Drosophila melanogaster: one gene and its partners. The protein of the gene in region 3 interacts with the protein of the main gene of each other region in a pairwise test. Each region holds a gene or a part of one and is shown on either strand. Other genes may lie near its edges. The genes, in order: CG12158, CG12824, CG1275 and CG30154.

Region 1 (4,762 bases), on a different chromosome or scaffold from region 3:
ACTGTTTTCAGGCACTTTTTATTTAATTTATGCTCTTATGGCATATACACTGCACTCTATTTATGAGCTGATTTAATGCTATTAGAGCATTTATAAGGCACTTTTGTTATGCACTTTTTAATTTCACAATTGCTGATGTATGGCCTCAAGCACGCCTTACCACAATTTATAATGGTACACAAAGCAACCTTTAGCTATAGACTATAAGGTGCTTGTTTTAAAACATAAAAGATTCTTTTGTATCTTTTGCTTTTTATATTTATACTCTGTTCCTTACCTTTGGTAGGGGGAAACAAGAGTCACTTATTTTTGCTACCTTTAGCTGTAAGATGCTTAAAGGAGCTGGCCTTTCTCTGAGTTCCTTACCTTTGGTAGGGGGAAACTGCAGAGTCGATTAAAGGCTCGATTGACCAAATGTAAAATCCCAAATAAGAAGACTTTACTCGTTGAGTTTTTGTAAGAAACTTGATTTTATTTGGAAATATCTTCGGTTTAAATAGGTGACATGAGAATCGCATCTTAAAGTAAATGGCCTACGCAGAGGCCTACGTAAATAGTCCCCGCCTTATCGAGGTCCCACGCTCGGGCACATCTGCCTATCTTGAGCGGCGAGGACCTTATCTGTGGTCTCCCACTAAGGGACTATTTTAGGAGGCGGGGAACGATCTCAAGTGACTGACTCATGTAGTGTGCACTTAAATTACATGTTTTTGAGCAATGCACCCATGTCGCCTTAGATAACAAAATCCTAAATATAATTTATCGCTCTCGATTCATTTACATAAGATATGAACGGAGCCCAAAATTGTAAGTCTTTAAATATATTCGTGTTCATGTGTGAACAGGCACACAGCAAAAAAAACGTAACATTTGATTTACATTTAGGATGATTATGCAAATCATTCAGCTTACAAAACAACAGATTGATTTGTATCAGCTCCAATCAAATTTGCGTTCATTAGCCACTTGCTATTATTAAAATACACTGATTTAAGGACTAAATCCTACTACCCTAAGTAATGTAAAATTCTGAAATATATTTCCTATTTTATGACATTTGTAATACCACTCCAAGTCTAAAATGTAAATTTCATTTGTTGCTATTAATCATAGTTAACAAGAGGACTGGAAGAATTTACTTTAATTTAAAATAAGGGATAATAATGGCCATTTTCAGTGCTTCCCTTCCCTGTGAGACTCTACATATGTACATACATATGTATGTATGTACGTATAGTATGTATCCTTTTTGACTGATAGCGATAGCATAACTTTTTCGGTTAGTCTCCGAGGTGCATTCACACATGGCTGCATTTCAGTTGCTGAAGTAGAGCGGCTTAGAAGGTGTTTTTCCGGGAATTGCAAGGGATGTCGGTTGGGAGGGGATTGGGTTCTCCGGCGACTTTGAACAGAGGGTTAGCTGCATCCAGACTCCGGCAGTCATAATGCAATTATGCACTGCCTGGCGGCACAGCTCCTTTGGTACGAGTAATAAGCATTTGCATTTTCACAGAATGTAGAACACAAGTCGCTGAAGAAGTTGCGCTTTGTAGGTTTCCATCGCTCCGAATAGCCCGGCATTGAAACCCCTTTGTAACCCCTTTCCTGGCTCATCAGCCGGAATGGACCTATGGCCATGTGCGCGGGGTTGAGGGGTGAGTTTCATGCTCATAATTTGTGCACTTTATTAATAAAGTTTTCCAAATTGGCTTGGCCCAGACGCAGTGCAAATACACAAAGCGAGGAGGAGAATGAATATACAAAAAAAGTGTATAACAATTGTAAAACAATATGGCTCTAAGAACTTGTGTAAAACATAACATTTTTTTTAGTCACATACATAAACAGAAACGCGGGCCTATATTTTCAACTGATAGTGGAAGTTTTCAGAGCCTTTAAGATGACAAATCTATTCAGTCATGTTATTTTCCCTTCGATTTCAATTTGCTTTAAGATTCTACCCTCGAATTTCTCTTTTCCCTTTGACCATTAATATCGAGCTTGCCTTTCTAAGCTTACGGGGTTCAAGAAACGAAGTTTTTAGTTTGCTGGGGAAAGTGTTTATTTAAGTAACTGGGAAAGTGGCGAGGAGGTGTGTGTCCCCCTCCAGAAATATCCCAGTTCTAGTTGTTCTGCCCGCTTTGTCCTTGTCCACTCTGCTGGTTGCCGTTTCCATTGCCATTTGGCGGTCTTGGCGGCTGTCCCTGCGAATGTCCATTTTGGCCCTGGGCGGCCACCTGCAGCGGCATTTGTGCCTGGAAAACCTCTGGTTAGGCCAAGTGGATGATTGAAAACCCTTCAACTCTTACCAAACCCACAGCCAGAATTAGAAGGAAGATGCTGAACAATGCGAACTGCTTCATGTTGAATTTGAAACTAGTAAACTAACAACACATGTGGTCTTTTATAGTCATACAGCACAACTGCGGTTCCCAAGAGATTATAATCCAGTGCAATTAACCATCGCAGTGAACAAAATGGCAAAATCAGTTTGTATGTTAATAATGCCATTCTGTATTATTTTGCTCGCTCGAATCTGATTTATAATGTCGTAATTGCGTGTGACCCGATCTGATCGCATATACAATATATTAAAACGACAAAATAACTCCAAAGGGGAGCCATCATTTTGCTGTTTAATTGGAAAAACAAATTTGAAAAAATTAGCCAGAATATCTCTCAAATGTCACTAAGGTCATCATATCATAGCTATAATTAACTAAAAATGTATAGATTGAGCTCTAAATTTAATAACATTTTGGACACGCCAAAACAAATACGTTTTGCGAAAAATTAACTTGGATGGTAAGAATTTATAAGTCAACATATAGCGATCTGATTCACACTCTGACTTCAAAAGCTATATTGATTATAAAATATTTGGGCGTTTTATCTTTGATAACATCAGAGCGTCATAAGCAGTTACTGAAAAATAACCACTAGGTGGAGCTCGTGTGCACTCACGGAAGCAGTCGGAGTAACAGGTATCTGATATTCGATACTTTTGACACTGTCTCTGGTTTTTTGTATCTTGTCTTGGTAAACTATTTTCCTAAAATATTCCAAGTGGCATATTAAATTTCCTTAGCCTCGCACTTTACGAAGCTTTCGAAATCAATTCATTTAGGCACTATTACATTTTCATAAAGTTTGTCTAGGCAGAGTAAACCGTCAATTATTCAAACTGGATTTCCTATTGCTGCTCGGTCTTTTAATTTGAGCGTATGCTCAAACAATCCAACACACCAGCCACCCATATGCCACCATTCTTTGACTGACACTACACGTTTTGAAAGAGATTCGCACACCACCCACCATCCACCTGCCATCCAACTGCCACCGCCCATTCACTTGCCCCTCGCCATCACCTTGGGGGCATGGTCGGGCAAAGCAATTTCGCTCGGCATTTTCGAGCGTTGAGTGGCAAAATGTCTTCGGTTTCAGCTTGAGATTAAATTCTGCCGAACGTTGGCCAAACAGAAACAAGACTTTCTAGTTTACACAACAACGATGGGTCCCGCCCGCCGATTCACCTGTCACCACCTATGGGCACATCGATGTTTGCAGACTGAAGGAAGTGCATATAGTTGAATTATTTAGTTACAATTGATACAAGTATAGGTAATTTCTAATGTTAAGTTGGGAGGCATTCTTGAAATTAATCTTCTAAGAACTCTATTACAATAATTTTGAAAAATTAAAATAAACTATAAGAAACATACATATGCGTATGATAGTAACAACAATGCAAGCAGTTGCAGAAATAATTTTTAAAAATATTATAAACGACTTTGTGCAGATTTCTTACTGTGTACTTGTGTGGGTTTTTTTCGGTTAATAAATGTCCCTGCCACAGCGAAATATGAATATTGAATATGCCCATAGTCGCGAACTGAGCGGCTGAATAAACCGCAAGCGAGTGGCGAACCCATAACGCCTTATAACCATTTCGGCACTTTTCAGGACGACGGAGGAATAGCCAAGGATTTGGATGGCCATATGGGGGAAGGAGGGCGGTAAATTCGGGTAGCAAGACGACACCAGCATACATTGTGGATGAGCACTAATGAAGTCTCAGCCCTCGTCCTTTACAGTTGGCTGCCTCATTGTTTGACTTTGACTTTGCCACTACCTTTCACTACCAACGGCCCCGCCCACTTTTCCACTTTGCACACTCACAATTGTTTGCACAGTCACTGCTTTGTCCTTTGACCCCCCCGCGCAAAGCACTCCGCCTCTGCCTCTGGCCAGCCTATTTATTTATGTTTATAATAGGATTTTTATCAAAACTTTTCCCCGAATTAATTTTGTAATGAGTATTTAAAAGACACTCGCATTTGGACAGGACACACACACACAAAGAGACCCGCAGCGCGGCATTCTGGTGTTTGTCTTTTGACACGCCCGATGGCCACTCAACTTTTGCCGCGCCCTTCTCGAGGAGATGTCCTGGTCGGGTCGGGTCGGATCGGTTGGACCAGGATGGTCAGCCAACATTTATGGTTGATGTCCTAATATGGGGTCTATTAATGGTGTCGCAAGCAGGGCTCTGACTTATTTCACAGAAATTTCCGTTTAGAGACCACTTATTGCGATGGGGTCTATTAAAAATTAAACGAAGTCTGGCCTTTACTTAAAAAAGAGAAACAGAAGCAGGAAATATGATTTCTTTGAATACATATTATGGGTAAAATTTATAAGGAAAATTGTCATCTTCATGGAAGGCACGACACAACTGGAAATTTTAGAGAAATATAGGGCA
Region 2 (5,033 bases), on a different chromosome or scaffold from region 3:
AAACAACATAAATACACATAACGACCAATTGAACTCAGACCATATAAACTATATAGCTTATATATACTTTATACTTTTTGGTGGATAAAGGGTTTGTTTTCATATATCGACCTGCGTTCTTATACAAAGCGGCTTTCTTATGAGCATAACCAAGGTCACGAAAGGTCATACACATATGCTTGCTGCTTGGTACATAGCTTATCGGCATTACAGAATTGAATCGATTAGCATCAACCAGGGCTGCAAAGAGCGGGATATTTGAAAATGCCGTCATTCTAAATTTCCAAATGCTAAGCTTAAGATATTTTTAAAAAATATGTAGCTTTTATTATTTGAGCTATTTCTGTTCAAATTATAAGGCTTAATAGAATTTCCATTTAACAATCATAAAAATATTGATGGTAAATCAAATGGAAAAGTAATTTCAACAAATCAAACTCTCAGTATTAATTTGTATATTATAGAATGTAATATATAAATACAATAACACCACTAAAAATGCTCTTCACCATATTATATATAATTATTGCATTTAGTAAAGACAAAATATATAACCATATCTCAGAAGCATCATGCTTTTGATAAACCAACAATTGTAAATGGCAAAATGCATCATATGGGATTCACCAAAATACTTTTGACTTGCATGTCGGCATACTTCGGTGGAAGCCCATCCTTGCGCATCCTGCGGAAGGCCTTCTGCACCGCATAGAATGCCATTCCGAGGCAGCCTGAAAGTAGTTTTTGGATTTATTGAAGGACGAAGTTAATCTCTATATTGTACCTATCATTGGCGCTGCGCAAAACATGACGATTAACCAATCGCCCATGGCCAGCAGCACAATGGATGAGTAACCCATTAAGTAGAGGAACATGGCGGTTGTGATCATCCAGGGCACGAAGAGCTTGTGCCTCTCCTGCGATGAGAGAATGTGGGTGAAAAATTGGAAGTTGCATTGGGAGTATGGCCGACCTTGATGGCTCCGCCGATGAGTACTGCGCTGCTGATAATCTGCATGGACGCTATGTGAACTCCAAATGCGTAGGATAATTCTGCGGGGAAACTGGTATTAGATGTGCTGGCTCTTGAACTTTGACCCCCGTTCAGTACCCCTCAAGTTGGCGAATATGATGAGGTAGGCGATCGCAAGGCAGATCGATGCAGCCCCGGAGCAAATAATGCCCGCCTTGGAGTCCGGTTTCCACATTTCCAACTCCTCGATGGGCGTTTTGTTCGCAAATGATCCATTGTTCCATTACTAAAAAGCTTTTTTTAATACTTATCTAATCAGCCATTGCTTTATATACAACGCATATACATAAAAGCCTTTGTGGGATATATAGGCACCGCAAAAGGGATAATAAAATTGTGCATCATAGAAAACAAGCTTTGCTAAAAGCCAAATGATAAAAGTAAAAAAAAAACAGAATTACCTTTGTCAGAGATAACAGAGATGTGAGCTGGAAACGAAATTTCGCAGAAAAAAGATAACAAATATATTTTCAGAGCACACTGAAAATAATAGTTCACAAAAGTGATTGCCTTAAAGTTTATAGTTCCCATTGCAAATTGTAATAAACTTTAGAAAAGTTTAAATTTACACCGATTTCTTGTGGGTTTGTTTCGTTTGAATAGCACTTAAAATGAGCTTTTATTTTCCAGCTATCTGATCTACCTTTAATCTTTTTTTTGTTTGTATTGAAATTGCTTATATATGTATCTATATGTGATTGATGAACTCCTTCTTGTCGGACAAGCTGGCATATGCCGGTGGCTCCTCCTTGCGCATCCTGTCGAAGGCCTTCTGCACCGAGTACAGGGCGCAGCCCAGATAGGCTGAAAGTGAAGGATTTTGGTTAATTGGCTGTCCAATCTCTGGCTGCGTTAACTCCTCACCTGTGAACGGAACGACCATCAATGGTCCGAAGATCCAAGCTGTGCCCTGGACTATCAGTGAAATGAACAGGTTCACCATCAGGTATAAAAAGAATCCTGTGGTTATCATCCACGGCACGAAGAACTTGTGCTTTTGCTGTATGCAGCAAAGAGCAGAGCAAAGAGATAAGAGATAAGAGTGTTGTGGACTGTGCACAGTGTGCCTAACTAACCTTTATGGCTCCAACGATGAGGACCACGCTTCCCAAGATCTGCAGCGCCGAAATGTGTATTCCCATCTCGTAGAGTCCATCTGAAACGAAATAGCTCTATGCATCGCAAAGATATCCAAGATTGGTATGTATATGCGCCTACATTTCCAGAAGTAATCGTCCATCAAAACCAGATAGGTTATGGCAAAGGCTATGGACAGGCAGCCCGAGCAGATGATTCCTCCTTTGGTGTCCAGCTTCCACATGTTTCCAAAATCGCAGAGTAACTTGCAGACCGCCGATTATTTCACAACTAAACTGGACGGGAGTATTCATGGTGGTGATGGGTGAGCAGGCTAGCTTTTGCCGCAGACCTTATCTAATCTCATATTGTACTGTAGCTCCTCCACCAGCGCAACAACAATTGAAGAAAACCTTTGTTGGTTAGTGTATAATTATAATTTTATTGAAGGATTCGCTTATTATTGCTTCGACTGGCCAGCTAACTGGGCAATCCATGCGGGCCTATCTATCGATGGGTTCCCAACTTGTGGCTACACCATTTTACAATGAGATACGACCTCGAGTCGATTACTTTGAATAATGCAATGGAATTTAATTGATTAGCTAACGAATTGAGAGTGGCGAGTGTGCAAAAATTTGTTAATTGTAAAATTTGTAACATGCGTTTTACTATTTGGTTTTCTTGCATCTTTAACTAGTATAATTAGGTATAAAAAAATGTTACTGCAATATCACCGCACGGCATTGCTTCATATGTATGTTTTGATGTATAATAACTATTCGATTTTCAGTTAACTCGCGTTATAAACTGCAAAATGTAGCGTATTTTAGAAAACGTTCGAGGCGTTCTACGTTCTGCGTGAGAATCGTTGATTAATTTGAGTTAAGTGGCGTTAGAAATTGGTTAAGATAGACTTAAGAAACTTGGCAAACGTCGCCTTCCTCTGGTGTTATCAAGTTAGTCAAGATATATAAAAATACGTTACGTAGGTTATAACATTCGATTAGTACAAGTAGGTATGTATAAATATATAAAAAGTACACAACGTGTAAATAAGACTAAGTCAATAGAGGAGACCTCCTTCGGGCAGGTTGCTTAGCTGCCCCGCGCATCTGTCCTTTCTCATCATAAGCACTTCATATTTCGATTTGTTGCATTTCGATTGGTTTTGTTGTTTTTTTTTTTTTTTTTTTGTTTTGTTTTTGGCAAAATCACAGGAGAATTAGAAATATAACATCAATATGATAGAGCGAAAGTGCATTCGATAGAGCATTCGTTCAACTTGGGTTGCTTTATTTGCCTTTGCTTGCACGAACTTGGATTCCGCCTTAGTTAAGTTTAGTTTTGCTTCTGGGGTTTTTGAATTCTTTAAATGTATATTTGTATAATAAATTATGACTATATATGCATTTATATATAAGTATATAGATGAATATATTTAAGAAGTAAGTAGGAGGCGCATTATTCCACTTTTCAACTTAGGATAACAACATTGCATTCGCGATTTCTCCCTAAGCCTTCGATCGCTGTACTGACTGACTGGCTGGCTGGCTGACTGACTGACTGACTAACTGAACTGGCTCGCCAAAGGCTCATAACAATATTTAACTATAGAGAATCGCCGATCAAAAATAATAACCATATGAATAGTGGTGATAGTGACAATCGAAGGATGCCGACGTGTATAAAATAAATAAATAACATCGCGTAGAAAAGGATCTGCGTTAAACCTATTTTAGACATCGACTACCATCTTCTTGTGAATGTCCGTGTTGCCGACCACAGAGCAGAACTCATCGAACGAGATCTTGCCATCCTCATCCTTATCCGCGAATCCGATCGTCTTGTCCACAATCTGCTGCAGTTGCGTGTCCTTCAGATTATTGCCTACCATCATCTTTAAAACCTTTTAGAGGGGAAACACTTCAGTGGAATGAGCTTAACGTAATGTTCGCGGGTCTTGCCTGAAACAGTTCGCCATTGGAAATGTAACCATCGTTGTCCATGTCATAGATGCGAAAGGCGAAGCGCAACTTGGACAGCTTGTCGCCCTTGACGCTGAACTGCGACACGCCCTGGATGAACTCCTTGAAGTCCACCTCGCCGTTGCCGTCCGCGTCGAAAATGTCGATCACGCGCTGCACCAGCGGATTCTGTTGCAGCTCCGGCAGCGACATGAACTCGTCCACGCTCAGCGCGCCCGAATTGTCCAGGTCCAGTTTCCGGAAACGTTTGCCCAGCCGCCGGATCTCGTCGGCGTCGACTGCAGAAAGGCGGGAAATATATAGAAATAGAGATTTAGATTCTAGAACGGTGTGAGGATTATGATTACAGTGGAGCTCTTTGAACTCTATACTTAAAAATTCAACATCAAATTTCTATAGCGTTATTAGGATTAATAAAGCTTTTAAATACTATTATTTTCACTTGAAATATTAAGTAAATTTATCTAACATACAAATGTAAATTATTCCTTTTCGCGAATATAAATCACATAATTGAAACTAAAGTTATTTAATTATTACTATTCTGCTAAGTAACTATATAGTATTGAGCATTTAAACAGCCCTTTAGTATGCAGATGTAAAACCAGATTTCGAGATTCTGGTTAAGATTGTTGGCGATTTATATTTAGCATCCGGTTGTCTGTCGATCATCAGATGTGCGACAAGGTGTGACAAATACACATTCTAGAATGGCAATTTTGAAATAGGACGATGGTGCGGAATAAAGAGTTGGGAATTCAAAATGTATTTCTACGCCACGTTTCGTTTGCATTCCACTTTTGTTGGCCATTCGCGTATTTACATGCCTACATATGTGCATACGTACATACGGGCGTACAATCGTACATGCATACCGTATCTAAATGTACGCTTCTAAATGCCCATGTTTGCATATTCATAAACAGCTGCCATTC
Region 3 (9,380 bases):
GCTGGCATCCCGAACTACTTTCCCGCCCACGCTTCCTGCTGCGTTGACCAGGCGCTGGAGATGATCCATATCACGCAGGGTGTGAGTAGCCGGCGCGAGCTGGACATTAACCTTCGAATTGGTGTGCACTCGGGTGAGGTGTTTGCAGGAATCATTGGGCACACCAAATGGCAGTTTGACATCTGGTCCAAGGACGTGGACATCACCAATCGGCTGGAGTCATCCGGGCTGCCGGGACTGGTGCACGTTTCCCAACGGACGCTGAGCATGCTGGACGAGCACTATATATTCAGAGAGGGCACCGAGGCAGCCAAAAATGATCCCATCCTGCAGCAAGCGGGGATCCGCACCTTCCTGGTCAGCAATCGACTTCCTGATGCAGTGGAGCCCGGCGAACTGGACGACGAATTGAGCAGCGCCTCCATAAACTCATGCCGCCTGAGCTACGGAGGATACTACGAAGAGATCCAGATCAAGGCGCAGCGCGAGATAATGAAGGAGGTGGATCAAATGGCGGTAGGGCACTGCTTCATAGAATGGAGACGGAGCAGTTCGATGAAGAAACAGGACTTCAATGAGGAGTACCTGTTTAGCAACCAGATCCACCTTGTGCTGGGTGTGTTCCGCAGCTGGAAGAGGGAGTGGGAATTTCATAACCTGCCTGACCTCATGATTAAGTACACCATGCTCTTAGTTCTTTGTGCTGGACTGGCCATAATGAGCATTAACTTAATCGAAGAGTAAGACGACTCTGCTAGTTAATCTGCCAAGTACTGCACTTTATCTCTTGATCCACAGAGCTACATACCCTGATATTCTGGTCTTGCTCGGAATTCTTCTCATACTACTGATCCTGTGCATTCTGGCTGGATACAAAAAGCTTCGGCTGCAGTGGAAGAAACTAACGCCCATGTCGCAGCCCTCTTGTTTCCTGAGTCGATGGCTTCTCAGGATCTCGGAAAGAATCGAGGACTCTCTGTTCGTAAGGATTCCATTGACCATGGTGGTACTGCTCCTGCTCTACGTTATGTCCTCTCAAGCAGTGGTGAGTATTTATAATTTGTGATCAAAAACAATGCTCTGCATATCCTTTACAGTTTTCCTGTGATGTAGCGAAACTGGAACTGAGTATTATCGAAGCCCATCTCTATAATGAGAAGTCGTATGCGGAGTGCTTCGGTCCATGGGTTGGTTTCACTATCTACAATTTTGAAAACTAGAAAACATCTCCTACTTTTAGACTGTCACTTACTGTGTGGTCATCGTGATCAGTCTTCTGTTTGTCGTCCCGGGATGTCCGCTGGTGATAAAGATACTCGCCGGCCTGCTCATCCTTGGACTCCACTTGGGCACCGTCCATTTATACTACGGGTTCGCCTTTGAGAGATCGGAGACCACTGATCTGGGACTTAAGTCGGACTACGCCCACACCTGGTATCTGGTGGCTCTCTTCATTGTTCTCGTATTGCGGGAACGTCACGTTAACTACCTTCGGAAGTTTAACTACTTGTGAGTGTGTGTAGATCTTTGTGTATATCGGTTCCTCATTCCCTTTTCAGCATGCGCGTTTGCTACGAGGAAGCCCACCAGCAAACTGATGAAAAGCTGCGCTCCATCAAGATCATTATGGCTAACATCCTGCCCACCCACGTGGCTCAGGTGTACAAGGTGCGACGACCCCACGACCAGCTCTACTACGAGAACTTCTCCAAGGTGGCCGTGATGTTCGCCTCCATCGAGAACTTTAACGCCGACACGGCGGGCCTACGGATCCTGCACGAGATCATTTGCTGCTTCGACGACCTCCTGGTTGACTACCAGACCAGGTACAAAATCGAAAAGATCAAGGTAATGGGTTGGACCTATATGGTGGCCTGTGGCCTCGAAACGGACCACTACACGGACTTCTCCATCGACATTCCGGTCAAGCAACCGGAAGCTGATTCCGAAATTAGACGAGGATCCAGCGGTGACTATTTCCCACGACTAGATTAGAGTACAATTGTAAAAGGTACATCTATTCAGTTCTGACTGTCCATTTTGGAAGTACCGAGGACGATGAGATGAGCGGCGATAATGTCAGCCAGCCCTACGCCCAAGTGCAAGATGTCGCCGTCCTGGTGATGACCGAGTTTGCCCTGGACTTACTTCGCATCATGCACGACATTCGGTACAACTACGTGTTCTCGGAGTACGATACATTCTTAACGGGGAGCTTGAAGATAGGTGGGCTGCATTACCTTCACCGTTATCCTAATCCATCCAATGATATCTAAGGCATCTCCCATGGATCCGTGATGGCCGGCGTTGTTGGACTCTCGAAACCACACTATGATATCTGGGGTCATACCGTCAATATGGCCTCCCGGATGTCCTCCACTGGATTGCTGGACAACATCCAAGTAACTCGGCACACGGCAAAGGTGCTGCGACAATTTAACATCCGCTGCAACTACCGAGGGCACACGGAGGTAAAGGGAGTGGGCAAGGTGCCCACCTACCTGGTGGTCGTAGACCCGGATCTCACATTCCAAGATCACGACCAAGTGAGCATGAGTATGAAGGACTCAAAAAGCTGGGTCATCGACACTCTTTCACTGTCATTCACCCCGAGCTTCGTGCCCCCAAAGTCTTCCACTTCGGATGAAGAGGAGGCTGAAGGAGAGCTCGAGGAAAATGTATCTGAAGGCGATGAACTGGAGGTCTCGATACATGAGCGCCAAAAGGGAGGCATCTTTCTGGCCGGGAACCTTCATTAATTTAAATTTATTTTAATAGATATATATATATATATATATTTATTTAAGCATATATAACACACATATATAGATGTATTCGTACAGTTCAAAGCAAATGTTTTTCTTGAGGTTAAATACGTTATGATTTGAGCACTCGCTGAAATCATTGCACAACTGGTGACCAAAGTATACGTATGTTCATAATTCAGAGTCATACATAGTCGTTAGGTTATGTACATGCTACAGATAATACACTCATCTTGACGAATCTCCATCTCCATCACTAAGAAAGCACCATCCGTGTGATCAGGTTCGGTTTCGTTTGGTTTTGTGCACAGTTTTTAGCTTAAGTAAGCATTGCAGTTGATTTGGGGCATGGGCATAGCCCTTACTCGTTGACAGAACTGGAGTTCAGCAGAGCCGTGTCCTCGGGAATGGGCTTCCGCTTGTAGGAGGGCTCAGTGGCTAGGTAGACAACCAGCGCCCCGAAGACCACGTACATTACTCCAATCACATTGGCCAACACACCAGCCGGTGGAAGAGTGGAGTAAGCCGGAGTTTTGCTAGAAATGTCGTCATGGATTAGTCAAGTGATCGATCTAGAATGCATATACACCTACATGGCGAAGATGGCCTTCTCGGTTATGCCCATCAGGGCACTAGCAATAGCCAGAACGAATCCAAAGAGTCCGAAGTAGATGTGCAGCGGCATCATGGCGATCCTGTAGTTCTCCCTCAACCCCGGCGCCAAAAAGGCCACAAATCCGGCCACATACTGCAGCGAGAAGACGATCACCGCGGAGAGCCCCAGCCAAGAGTGCAGGGAGTACATGTTGGGAATGGGCGGATTGGCCAAGTTGTGGGAATCGAAGACCGTCTTCAGGGCAATCACCGTCAGAATGAATGCACCCATGTGGATGCCGGCGTGGGTAAGCTTCAGAGTCTTCTTGCGCGTGGTGCGGAAACCACGATAGATCAGAATGGCTGTGGGATTGAATTGAGTTGGATTACCATTTCGAAGCTAGTCAATGGGAGTGGCGTGGCACCTCTTCCGCTGCATTTACTCACAGTTGCCATACAGGTAAATGAAGCCAATGGTCATGAACAGCGGATGCCAGTTGAACTCCACGCCGGGATTTGAGGTGCCGGCCAGACCGCCGAAGTGCTGGCCAATCCAGGTGGCCACCAGGACGATCATGGTCAGGCCGCACAGCTGGGTGAGCACATAGAGCACCTTAAAGTTGATCAGCGCTGGATCCATGTTGGCCTTGCCGCTGCCTGAAAAATCCAATAAAAGCTGGGGATGAGCTAAAAATAGAGGCCATTTTACGCACAGCACGCATTGGCGATCTAATCGCATAACTCATTCAAGGGTAGAGATATCGGGGCATCGAAAGGGGAAGGGGATCTCAAGCACTCGTTTATATTTTCCATACTTTTGGTTTATAGCCTCTGCTACGTAAACATGATTCAATTACATGTTCCACCTGCCCGCAGATTAAAATAACCCCCAAGCACTTGCTGATAACATGCGACCAGAAGTTTAGGGAGCCAATAGGCTTCCCAAAAACCCACTTTAACAGTTGTACATCTGATCCGCTTCGATGGCAGCTGCACTCGTTGGGTAAACAAACAGTTCCTTTGCCGCCAGCCATCCGATACTGCGATAAACAAGATCTCATCATATCGACTGGGCCCTGAGTTAATGGGAACGGCCTGTTCCCAGGCACTGGGACACACCCACGACCCCTTTCGCCGGCCACTCACCAGGCGTAATTTGGCTAATTCATGCGTAAACATTTGCGCTTGTTTACCCAACATTAATTTTCAACGCCAGAGCGTTCTGCCCACTTTATCTGTCGCCTTATCAGTATGTTCTCCAGATAGTCCGAACATCTGATATTAAATCGCTTTAAATAGCATCGTACAAGTTCCTCGTGCTTGATGTTGCAGCATGATACATTAAATAAATTAAAGTTCGATTCATTTTACGGAACGTACGGGTAGTGAAAGTAGCCGTGTTCATAGTTTGGTATAGTATAGATTGGACTTGACTAAGATAGTTTAAAAGGCTAGTAAACTTGTAGGTGCAGATGCACTCGATAAGGGCCGCTATCAGCCGCCCTAATTGGCGTTTGGTATGCAAATGGTGTTTTAATTTCGACTCGGGCGAATAATAAGCAAATGAGCCAAACTGCCAAGTGTTGGCTTGTAAATTGGCTGATAAGTGCGCCGGAGACACTTGTAGCTGGCAATCGCAATTATAAATGCTGGTAACTGGCAGCAGCCACGCGTCCCCGGTTACTCAATGGGCTCCAGTTGGAGTGCTCCATTTCGACGCAGCTCTGGGTTCCGAGTGAAATTAATTGGCACATTAGCTGTGACTATGACTGTTAATTATTAGGGTTAAGTGGGCGTGCCAAAGACGCTGACCAGCAAAGCGTTGCAGCAGATCGTGCGCAAAATTTGAAATAAACAATCCACATAGGCGCACCAAAAGACCGAAAGTAAAACCCGGGCAGATGACTTTGGATGAATTTGGAAAAGCGTACAAGTCCGAAGACAGCGGAGCAAAATAAATAAAGTCTGGAAAACCAAAGTGAAATTCAGCTGGTTACTGGTTACTGGTTACTAGTGGCTGCTTGCTGATCGCGGATCGTGATGCCGATGGTGATGGTGAAAACCGCGGCGGGGAAAGGGGACGGCTGCAGTCTGTCTTTCGGTGCGTTTTGCTTTAACTTTTACTATAACTAAACACTCGGCTTGTTGGTTTATTTTACTTGGCACTAATCAAACTTGCAGCCAAAATCCAATGCCATGCACAGTCTACCTGTTGGTGGTGAAGTTGCCGCCGCCGTTGGAGTGGCCAACTCAATGCCAGCGATGGTTGTTGCAGGTTGCACTTGTTCTGCTGTCGCAGGTGTTGCAGTTGTTGCTGGTGTCGCTGCCGCTGGCTTTTCCCCATTAGTCACCGCGATCACTGTGGTCGCCGTGGAGATGGTGGTCGGAACGGCGGCCTGTGGCTGCTCCGGAATCGCTGGCTCCACCTGGACAACTCCGCTCTCCGGCTTGGTCGCCTGCTCCACGTCCGCGTCCTTCGACATGGTCTGTGCACTTTAAATCAATAATTCACCAATGGTTCAACCACAAAAAGACATGCAACGTATAATGGACGGTGTTAATTGCCCTAAGACACAGCACAAAAACACTGGTAAATGCTAGTAACTAACTACTAGTAACTAATCCGCACGACACCCCGTTAATACAACCGAACACTTCGGCGTGCAATGCGCAACTGAATTTAAAGTTTTCCAGCCGCCGCCCGGCGATGGTTAGGAAAAGCTTTTTCCGCTCGCAAATCTCTCGCATGCGACATCGCACACACATATTGCTCATTTCGGTGTGGATAATTGTTTGGTTCTCGATGCGGATAGGATTCCAGTGGGGTTGGGTTTGCTTTTGACTTTGCCTTTGGCTTTGGGTGCCAACGAATGCTGGTTAGTATGCCGGACCAGGTCGATCGCTTCTGGTTGGGAAGGGGGTGCATTGATGATTATTTGCATTTCGCATTCCTCGGATCTATTCAAACCATTGTCACTGCGCGGCATTTCAATTGCGACTTTGACTTTGATGTTCTGTGCATAGTAATGGGATGGTGCAGTGGAACTGCTTCAATTGGAACTACTTTTTGCCAGAAGGAGTGGAATCCAAAACGTAAAAGGGTTTACAAAAAGTTTTTGGGTAAAATTTGTTAGTAACAACTATTTCAATATTGTTCTTAGTTTCGAAAGTACATCTACAGTAAAGTGAAACCTTTAAGGACAACAAGTAGCTTTCCCTCTTAAAGAGCTTAAGTTCATGCTGTGCAATAATGACTGTATGTGCACTTCAACTCACCCAGTGAGAACAACATGGCGTATACTTGATTGATGCTTCACTCTGCTCAGATAATGCCTGTTTCAATACCGCCTGCTCTTATCTTTAGCAGCAATTAGTGACTTTAAAGCGATGACGATGGGTTTTTCGCGATTACTTCTGATTTTCGTGGCTACTGCCACGCACTTTACTCTACTTGTTGAACAAACTGCTTAAAATGCAGGAAGCTGGGCCTTCCATATGGAGGAAAAGCCGTGGAAATTCTGCACAGGCTGCGTGGGCGTGAAAGCCCTAAAGCCCCGCCCACTCTGCCGCACTTGGCCATTTCATTTGGCATTTCCACGAGCTTTTCGTTGGAAGCTCAGAACTGTAAACGCCGAAGCACACATGCAAACAAACTTTCGGGCTCACACCACTGTAGAAAAACCACTTGTTGGATATTATATTAATGGAAAGCCACAACCAAATTATAACTGTTTGTAAACTACATTTAAAGACGTAGTTGAAATAGAAACAGGTAAACTTACAGATTTGAAATGAATCAGTAATCCAATAATGTGTTTTGTTTGGAATATTTCCAAAATGTCTTCAACGGAAGAGGCAAGAACACAAACAGAAACGGCACAAACACAAAGAGATAATTTGGCAGCATAAGAGAGCGGAATGCTGTGCGAATTTACTACGTCAGCATTATTATTAACAAGTTAAACTTAAAGCGGCACATTCATTGATACTTAATTTAGTACAGCAAGTCAAGGACACGGTCAAACTTTCACTATCAAAGGGTTTTAAACTGTAACTCGATCTGTTAACCGCTTCGATTTTCTGTTTACTCATTTGGAAAAAAGCGGGACAACCAGGGATGCGAGAATCATACTGTAGCTGCGTGTGCTGAAAAAATAGTGTGCATTTAATATACGTTCACATGATGATAGAAAGTACTGACTGTGTGAGTTTTAATTTTAAAAATTTACAAACTTTATATTCATATTTAACTAGAGCTTGGAAAACATTTACTTCGAGACCCTGGATTCCCTTATGCCGCCAGTGTGGCCCATTGAGCACGACTGAAACACGCTAACGCCTTTAGCTCGGCAGCACTGGCAGCTCCAACAAAAAGCTTCAATTTAAAATAATATTTAGGTAGTCCCACAATAAATGCTAACAAAATGCTCTCCAACCTGGTGGTGACCAAGCAGAAAGTGGTCCTCGTAATAGGTGAGTACACACTGACTACCCCATCGTCTGCCAAATAATGCGACCACCAATCTCCCGCCTCATCCACAGATGAGCTAAATCGGGAGCGCATTGCCCCCAAGTTCATCGGCAGTCTGCTGCACGAGCAGGGACAGGGGGCGGATACCATCAAGGCCCTGCCCACCGGCGTCAGCCTTAAGCACGTGGCCACCTTCGAGGCACTGATCGACAAGTACGCCAACAACAACACTGGGAGTACTACGGATTCCAACTCCACTGGCTTTAACGTCATCCTGCCAACATTGGCAGACCTGCTGTGCTACCAGACGCCTGCTTTCATATTTGGCTTCCTCAACCGCCTACGCCGCTCGGACAATGTGCGTCGGGTTTTCCTTTGGGCCTCCCCGCAGCACCTGCAGGATCCGCATGCCGACTACATCCTGGCTGGCTGCGAGTACCTGGCCGAGCTGGTCCTCCGACTGGAATCGGACAAACTACTCTCGCTGATATCACGCAAGCCGGGCGGAGGGGTGTCCAACAGGCGCTACTCCTGCGAAGTCAGCAAAACCCAGTTCAAGGTGACGCCGCTGGACGGAGGACTGCCTGCAGGTGCCTCCCCCAAGCAGCCCTCGCCCGAGGCGGAGCAGACCACAGAGCCGGCCAGCAGCACCTTCAAAATCGAGCTTGACGAGGATGAAGTGTTGGCCCGCAATGCACTCACCCTGCCATACGAACGGTGAGTGGTAACCATTCTCTATGCGTTACATCTCCTTATTGATATGTTCGTATATATGATAGCACATCCGAGCCGTCTGAGGGAAACATAATATACACGCCCGATGCCGACGACGATTTCGACGAGGAGGATCCGGACGAGGATCTGTGCATCTAGGCTGCCCGCCAGCAGCGAACGGCAGTACAAATAGCCTTGGCTTTAAGTCTCCTTAAGTCTAACCTACTAAAACCATAAAATACCTGGAATTCCGGCCCCAAAGTTCCGCCTAGGGGTGTGTTCAACCTCGCCAGAGGAGCAGAATGAATCTTTGAACGACCACTTAGTACACGTAGAATTGCTCATTTATTTTGGATAACTTGATATGTGAATCAAAAAATCGAAGAAACTTGTGAATACATACAACTGATTCAATTGCTATCTGGTGGTGCCCTAGCTTATGACTTAGTTAAGGAATTTCATCTAGCTAACCTTATGTACAGTTAACTCTCGATTACCTCCACGATATTTGGCTGCAATGCGATCTTTTGGTGTCCAGTGCGTGGCGTATTTACAAGGCGTTCAACCTAACTAACTTAACTAGTTCCAAAGTGCTACTATGCTCTATTGATATGAAAATCAAATACAATTGGAGCGGCGGAGTTCCGCTTCCGGTCAAAATGGCGCTTAAAAGTTCACATTATCACAACAATCTATACGAAAACATCGAGAAGAAAAAGGAGCTATCAAAAAATCGTTAATTGCGGTTCGACATCTAAATCTTGGCGAGTATTTACACTAGAGAATTAATAACAAATTAATGCATGGCAATGGCTCATTTGAGCAGGGCATCCACA
Region 4 (5,079 bases), on a different chromosome or scaffold from region 3:
AAGATTTAACATCGATGGAAATTTAATTTCAAATCTCGATTTAGAAATACAAAATAAGCAGAAATTTCGTTCGACCCACCCTAATTCAATTAAAAGCATTTTTCATAAACAAGCAAATGTATACAGCAATGCAATTAGACAATTTGTGGCTGACAAAAGATCAAGGCCATTAATTAAGAATTTATTAAGTTAGCTTGGAAAACACAAATATAAAGAATAAGAGACCTTGGTCTTATTTACGAAGATTCGTTGGGAAATTCCGTCATTTAAATACCAAGAAGTGTTCATAAACACCGCCGCAAGCTCGGTAATTGTATTCCAATCGCCACACGCCCATACAAACCTAGTCTGTTAGGCGATACTAAGCATTAGATTTAGCCGCCCCATAAGCTGCCTATACGGTGAGTTTCCCGCTAATCAATCACATTTGCCGGGCGTCATTTCCCATTAATTGACCTAACCACCCACACGTTTGTGGCCTCAGGCCGGTCAAATGGGAAGATTATGCCCAAAGACGCCTCATGTCTGGGGTCTGTTGTACTTGGATTACACACTAGATATGTATCTTTTAGAACATCTTAGCTTGTAAACCATAGATAAGACAATTAAAGTCAAGACAATTGCTGCAAAGGCGCTTTATTTCGAGCGACTCGTGTACGATTGATTACTTGGCTTCTAATAGAAAATATTTCCCAGGGAATTCTGAAGATCCCTTTGAATATCAGCCATGGTTTTCTGGAGATTGGCGTGCACCTCTTGCTGGATACGATCGGCATAGTTCTTTGCCTCCGCCTCTAATTTATCCCGATTGTCGAAGGATTCGCGATCGCCCAGAAATGTGCGTCCACCTATCTTGGCAATCACCGTATGATCGGCCAGTTCGATGACTATATCACCATTGGAGTACTCCACCTGAGCCGGTTGTCCGTTGATGGTGACGGTTTCCTTTTCGTTAATGCCTGCTGCTTTTGGCCTGAATGTGTACACCTGGCCGTGATCATTGAGTTCGATGGCACCATTTATGATCCTAATACTGCGTCCATTGCTGTTCATGTAACTTCCATGACTCGCATCTCCAACAATGAAGCTATGTCCATCGCCATGAATTACGCTGGATCCCGAGCCACCATTGATGATAACATTGTTATAGCTCCCACCGTGACCATAATCGTGCGAGCTGTCCTCTTCGCTGGAGTCGGCATCCGTGATGATCCTGCGCCCATCGGATCCGATCAATACTGTTTTGCCATCGGGTCCACGAATGATTTGCCCGGCTCCGTTTGATAGGAAGGTGTTTCCATTGTTCTGAAGAATCGTCTGGTCCTCATTTCGCTGTATATTCGCAGCTATAAAAATACAATTTATTTTTTTTCTATCTGCACATACAAAGTATATCTATATATTCACCGCTAGACAGAGAGGCGATGCCGGCCAGCAGGCCCAGTAGAATCCAAGCTCCAGTGTTCGAGCCCATTTTGCATTGACTATGCCAATGCCAAGTGCGATGCCAGCTATTTATACTATCCCATAAAAATATCGGCTCATCGCGCCGTATTCGTTCTATATACTCTATGAGATCGGTTCTCAGTGACAGTGACTCTCGCGCAATAACAGATAAGACGGAGGAGGTCAGCGGTGCAGTCTACCGGGAATTGCCACCGACGGGTTTGTTTTGTTTACTTGCGGTTGAGCGACAGAGGCACTTCGTCACCGGCTTGCCAATTCACTCTCGATTTAGACGGATCGAGAGAGTGGGGGGAACTGTGTCAAATCAAGAACGCTTTTTAGCCAGGCCAAAAGTACGCAGATATGCCATAGAAACTGAAAAGTTGGGTGCGCTGCGATTTGCAACATTCTGAAAAAATTATTATAAAACACGTGCTGATATTGTTATGACGATCAGAATTGAAAAATTCCCATAAGCTCGTTTGCATACTTATCAATAAAATCAATATCAATCAATAGCTTATAATTTCGTAGATTATTTCGGTTTGTTCATTCGATTGCAATATTAGTTAGATTCAGGAAACAATTTCAAAAGCCGTATAAACTGTATCTTCATATTCATATTTGCAATATTAGGCTTTTAATCTCGTTTAAATATTTTGGCTCTATTACATACAGTATAGTAAAGGGTTATATTTAAATGTCATAGATAAAAAGGTGCACAATTAAAGTGACTATATATAAGTGAGTGTGACCATGAATGAAGTATTAGCATACAAATCGAGTACTGTTCGACGAAAATCAATTGCGAAGCAAAGTAGTTGTAAAATTATTCACAAATTTACTGTAAAATCCAGCTTGACTTGGTTGTGGTCACGCCTCTGCCACTTGGATAAATTTAGTAACGCCACTTGCCGCTGTTTTTCGAATGGATGACTATATTGTCGGTGGACTCTTCTCCGCCATTCCAGGCGGGTCCGCCATGGGGTCCAGAATTGGAGGCAGGTCCCCATTTCCACGGCATGCCATGCACTTCACAAATGACAAATGTGGGTTTATAAAAATATAGATAATAGATATAGATATTAGAACACCACTCACCGCTGAGAACGACGAAGCAGAGCCAGAGCAAGAGAACCCAGAGTTGTTGACGTAGGTACATGATCAAGCCGAGGAGTTCCAATGTTCCAATGATGGGGCATAATATGGACACACTTGTTTTATACGGCTCCAATAGCCAAGTAGCGCTCTATCTCTTATTCGAATCGTATCTCTTGGATTGCTTTGGACTCTCGCTCTCACTCCCTCTCTTAGTGGCATTCTCTGTATCTTTATTTGTCCATGTTTGGATACGTGGAGGGATTCGATAATGGCTTAAGCTCTAGCGACTTATGCATAATGCAATTTTCTGTTCTTTGCACTCTTTTAATTCTCATTGAAACCATCGTGCCACCACTGTCGAATGCACTCAGAGAAATTTATGGTTATATACAACAGGATTAAAGTGTCAAAAGTTATTTATTATATTTTACAAAAATATTTTTTTATATTCGCTTTTGCATATAATTTAAAAAGTAAAATAATCCTAATTTACGCCACTAACTAAGTCATTCAGTAGATATTTATTTCAGTGTAGACGCACAATAGCCGGGTAATTAAGAAGTTTCGCCATGTGGCTACGTTTCTAATTATTTTCAATTGAATTGCTTTGCTATACGTAAAACTTTTTCCATTCCTACTGCCATTAAACATATCGTGGAACTGCTCGGTCCCACCTCGGATCCCCGGCCATTGACATTATCCAATGTCCCCCGGCGTCGAGTGGGTTTATCGTTGCTGAGTGGGTGTATATAGCTATCTAAGCTGCGTTGCATCGGGAAAAGTTAAGCTCTCGTCGAGCCAAGTTTCACAATAAAAATTAAACAGGTACTGCATTGTTTGTTAATGACAAGCGTTTCGTTGTTGCTGCTTTGTTTGAGTGGCCATGGATTTGGATTAGTTGGAAAATTGGAGTGGTGGTGGAGTCACTCTGTTCAAATAAAGCAATTGTAAAGTGGAAAATAAAATGCCATTGCTGAAAGTTTGTCCATCACTAGGAAAAACTGAAGTAGTGTGTAGAGCCAATTATTTCAGTGCCTTGACATGTTATTTAGCTCGTTGTTATGCTGAGTTTTCAAGAACATGTCCTGTCAAAATCCAACGATCATAGTTATCAAAAAAATGGTATAAAAATAGTTGAGAAAGTACAACAATACGCTGAAACGTTTCGGAATTTTAAAGATTTAATCAGGCTATTAGTACCTTTCCTTAATCGCCGCTTCTAAACACGACGAGACTGTAATTGAATTCTGGCACTCAAGTGCAGGTTAAGAAGAAGCTTAATTTAACCTAACTGTGTTGGCCTGGCTTTTATTGCCACCTACACTCGTTCTTTATTCAATTTATGTGCGACTTACATTAGCCCAACTGCAAAACCGAGATCAGAAACGTACCCAAACGGCGGCAAGATAAACGACTTTGAGTCTGAAATACGGCTTGTATGCTGGCCAATGGATGTGGGTTTCCATTTTGGGCGATTCGCCCGGGGGATTCCCATGCACAATCTGCGCCTGGTCAAAGGCAAATGTGCGTTGTCCATTGTGGATGCTGTTGTTGCTGCAGTGCGAATCGAATCGATTTGATTTTCCAATCAATTAAACTTTATATAAATTGCGTCTGCGATGCTAAATATAACAACAATTGCACACCGCGTTAGCAGCGACAGCAACAGCAAACATTTCCACAAAGTACAAATAGAAAATAGCACTAGAAGAGGTATTTGTTCGCTCATTCTGTTAGTCGCCCCCTCTTTTTCTATCGTCACTCCCCTCTCTGTCTAACCCTCTAATTCGCTCTCCGTCACTCCTCAATGTCTCTATTAACGGCTGACTGCACAATCACAAAAAAATGTGTTCACTGAGTGATCCCGACTGCACTGAAATTAATAAGTTCATAATATAATTTAATTATATGCTTTGAAATTAAATTTGGTACATATTGAAGAAATATAAAGCAAGATTATCGTTTTATGAGCTAAGCATTTTCTGTAACTTTTAAGTTTCGCGACTTTTTTTTTGCAGTGTACATTTGTCAGTTGGTGGAAAGAGTGTGTCTAGCTATTGGTGGTGGCTGATGAGTCAGGTTAGAGGAGACTGCATTTTGCACGACTTTGACTGCATTTTCGCATTTGGCAAATGTTTTGTGTGCGATTTTGAAATGCAGACGACGATGTTGGGCTGCTGCAGATGACTTGCGACGTGAGCCATTGTTAGAACGGTGTCAGTTGAAGATGATGGTGTGGGTGGTGGTGGTGGAAGGGGGGGGGGGGTGAGCTAAAGACACGGAAAGTGTATTTGATCAATCAAAAATGGAAGCAATCTCCAGTTTAAAGTACTTGCACCAAGGCAGGTGGTCCTAACGAACACAATTAGCCTAATAAGTAAACAACAACTTGGGGCAAAGTGGGCGTCAGCGAAGCGACATTAATTGAATTATTGGGCAAGCTTTATAGGCATTACCTGCACGGGGTGAGGGACATTCATTAATGCTAATTGAGTACACAGCCCACGAATATGTACTTATACATATATATAC

Evidence for each region.
Region 1: the proteins of CG1275 (region 3) and CG12158 interact in a two-hybrid assay, tested with the Drosophila melanogaster proteins (one large-scale study listed by BioGRID).
Region 2: the proteins of CG1275 (region 3) and CG12824 interact in a two-hybrid assay, tested with the Drosophila melanogaster proteins (one large-scale study listed by BioGRID).
Region 4: the proteins of CG1275 (region 3) and CG30154 interact in a two-hybrid assay, tested with the Drosophila melanogaster proteins (one large-scale study listed by BioGRID).

Annotation. Positions count from the first base shown.
Region 1 is NT_033778.4:9,360,527-9,365,288, forward strand, and holds CG12158 (uncharacterized protein), read right to left. Parts: upstream 2,381-4,762; 5' UTR 2,364-2,380; coding exon 2,310-2,363; intron 2,256-2,309; coding exon 2,124-2,255; 3' UTR 2,048-2,123; downstream 1-2,047.
Region 2 is NT_033778.4:7,786,577-7,791,609, reverse strand, and holds CG12824 (uncharacterized protein), read right to left. Parts: upstream 1,243-5,033; 5' UTR 1,209-1,242; coding exon 1,112-1,208; intron 1,054-1,111; coding exon 974-1,053; coding exon of another isoform or gene 918-973; coding exon 785-917; intron 732-784; coding exon 613-731; 3' UTR 501-612; downstream 1-500. Other genes in the region: CG12825 (uncharacterized protein), read right to left, coding at 1,722-1,837, 1,898-2,033, 2,110-2,189, 2,252-2,354; CanB2 (calcineurin B2), read right to left, coding at 3,849-4,019, 4,078-4,376.
Region 3 is NT_037436.4:2,249,971-2,259,350, forward strand, and holds CG1275 (uncharacterized protein), read right to left. Parts: upstream 7,454-9,380; 5' UTR 7,142-7,453; intron 6,843-7,141; exon of another isoform or gene 6,652-6,842; coding exon of another isoform or gene 6,636-6,651; intron 6,041-6,635; exon of another isoform or gene 5,853-6,040; 5' UTR 5,843-5,852; coding exon 5,569-5,842; intron 4,017-5,568; coding exon 3,807-4,016; intron 3,723-3,806; coding exon 3,359-3,722; intron 3,302-3,358; coding exon 3,127-3,301; 3' UTR 2,774-3,126; downstream 1-2,773. Other genes in the region: CG32305 (uncharacterized protein), read left to right, coding at 1-740, 799-1,045, 1,098-1,187, 1,241-1,509, 1,560-1,969, 2,026-2,226, 2,278-2,759; Elp5 (elongator complex protein 5), read left to right, coding at 7,784-7,832, 7,902-8,547, 8,610-8,703; oxt (peptide O-xylosyltransferase), read right to left, coding at 9,359-9,380.
Region 4 is NT_033778.4:20,530,921-20,535,999, reverse strand, and holds CG30154 (uncharacterized protein), read right to left. Parts: upstream 2,642-5,079; 5' UTR 2,609-2,641; coding exon 2,548-2,608; intron 2,479-2,547; coding exon 2,345-2,478; 3' UTR 2,066-2,344; downstream 1-2,065. Other genes in the region: Bbd (bombardier), read right to left, coding at 676-1,346, 1,408-1,474.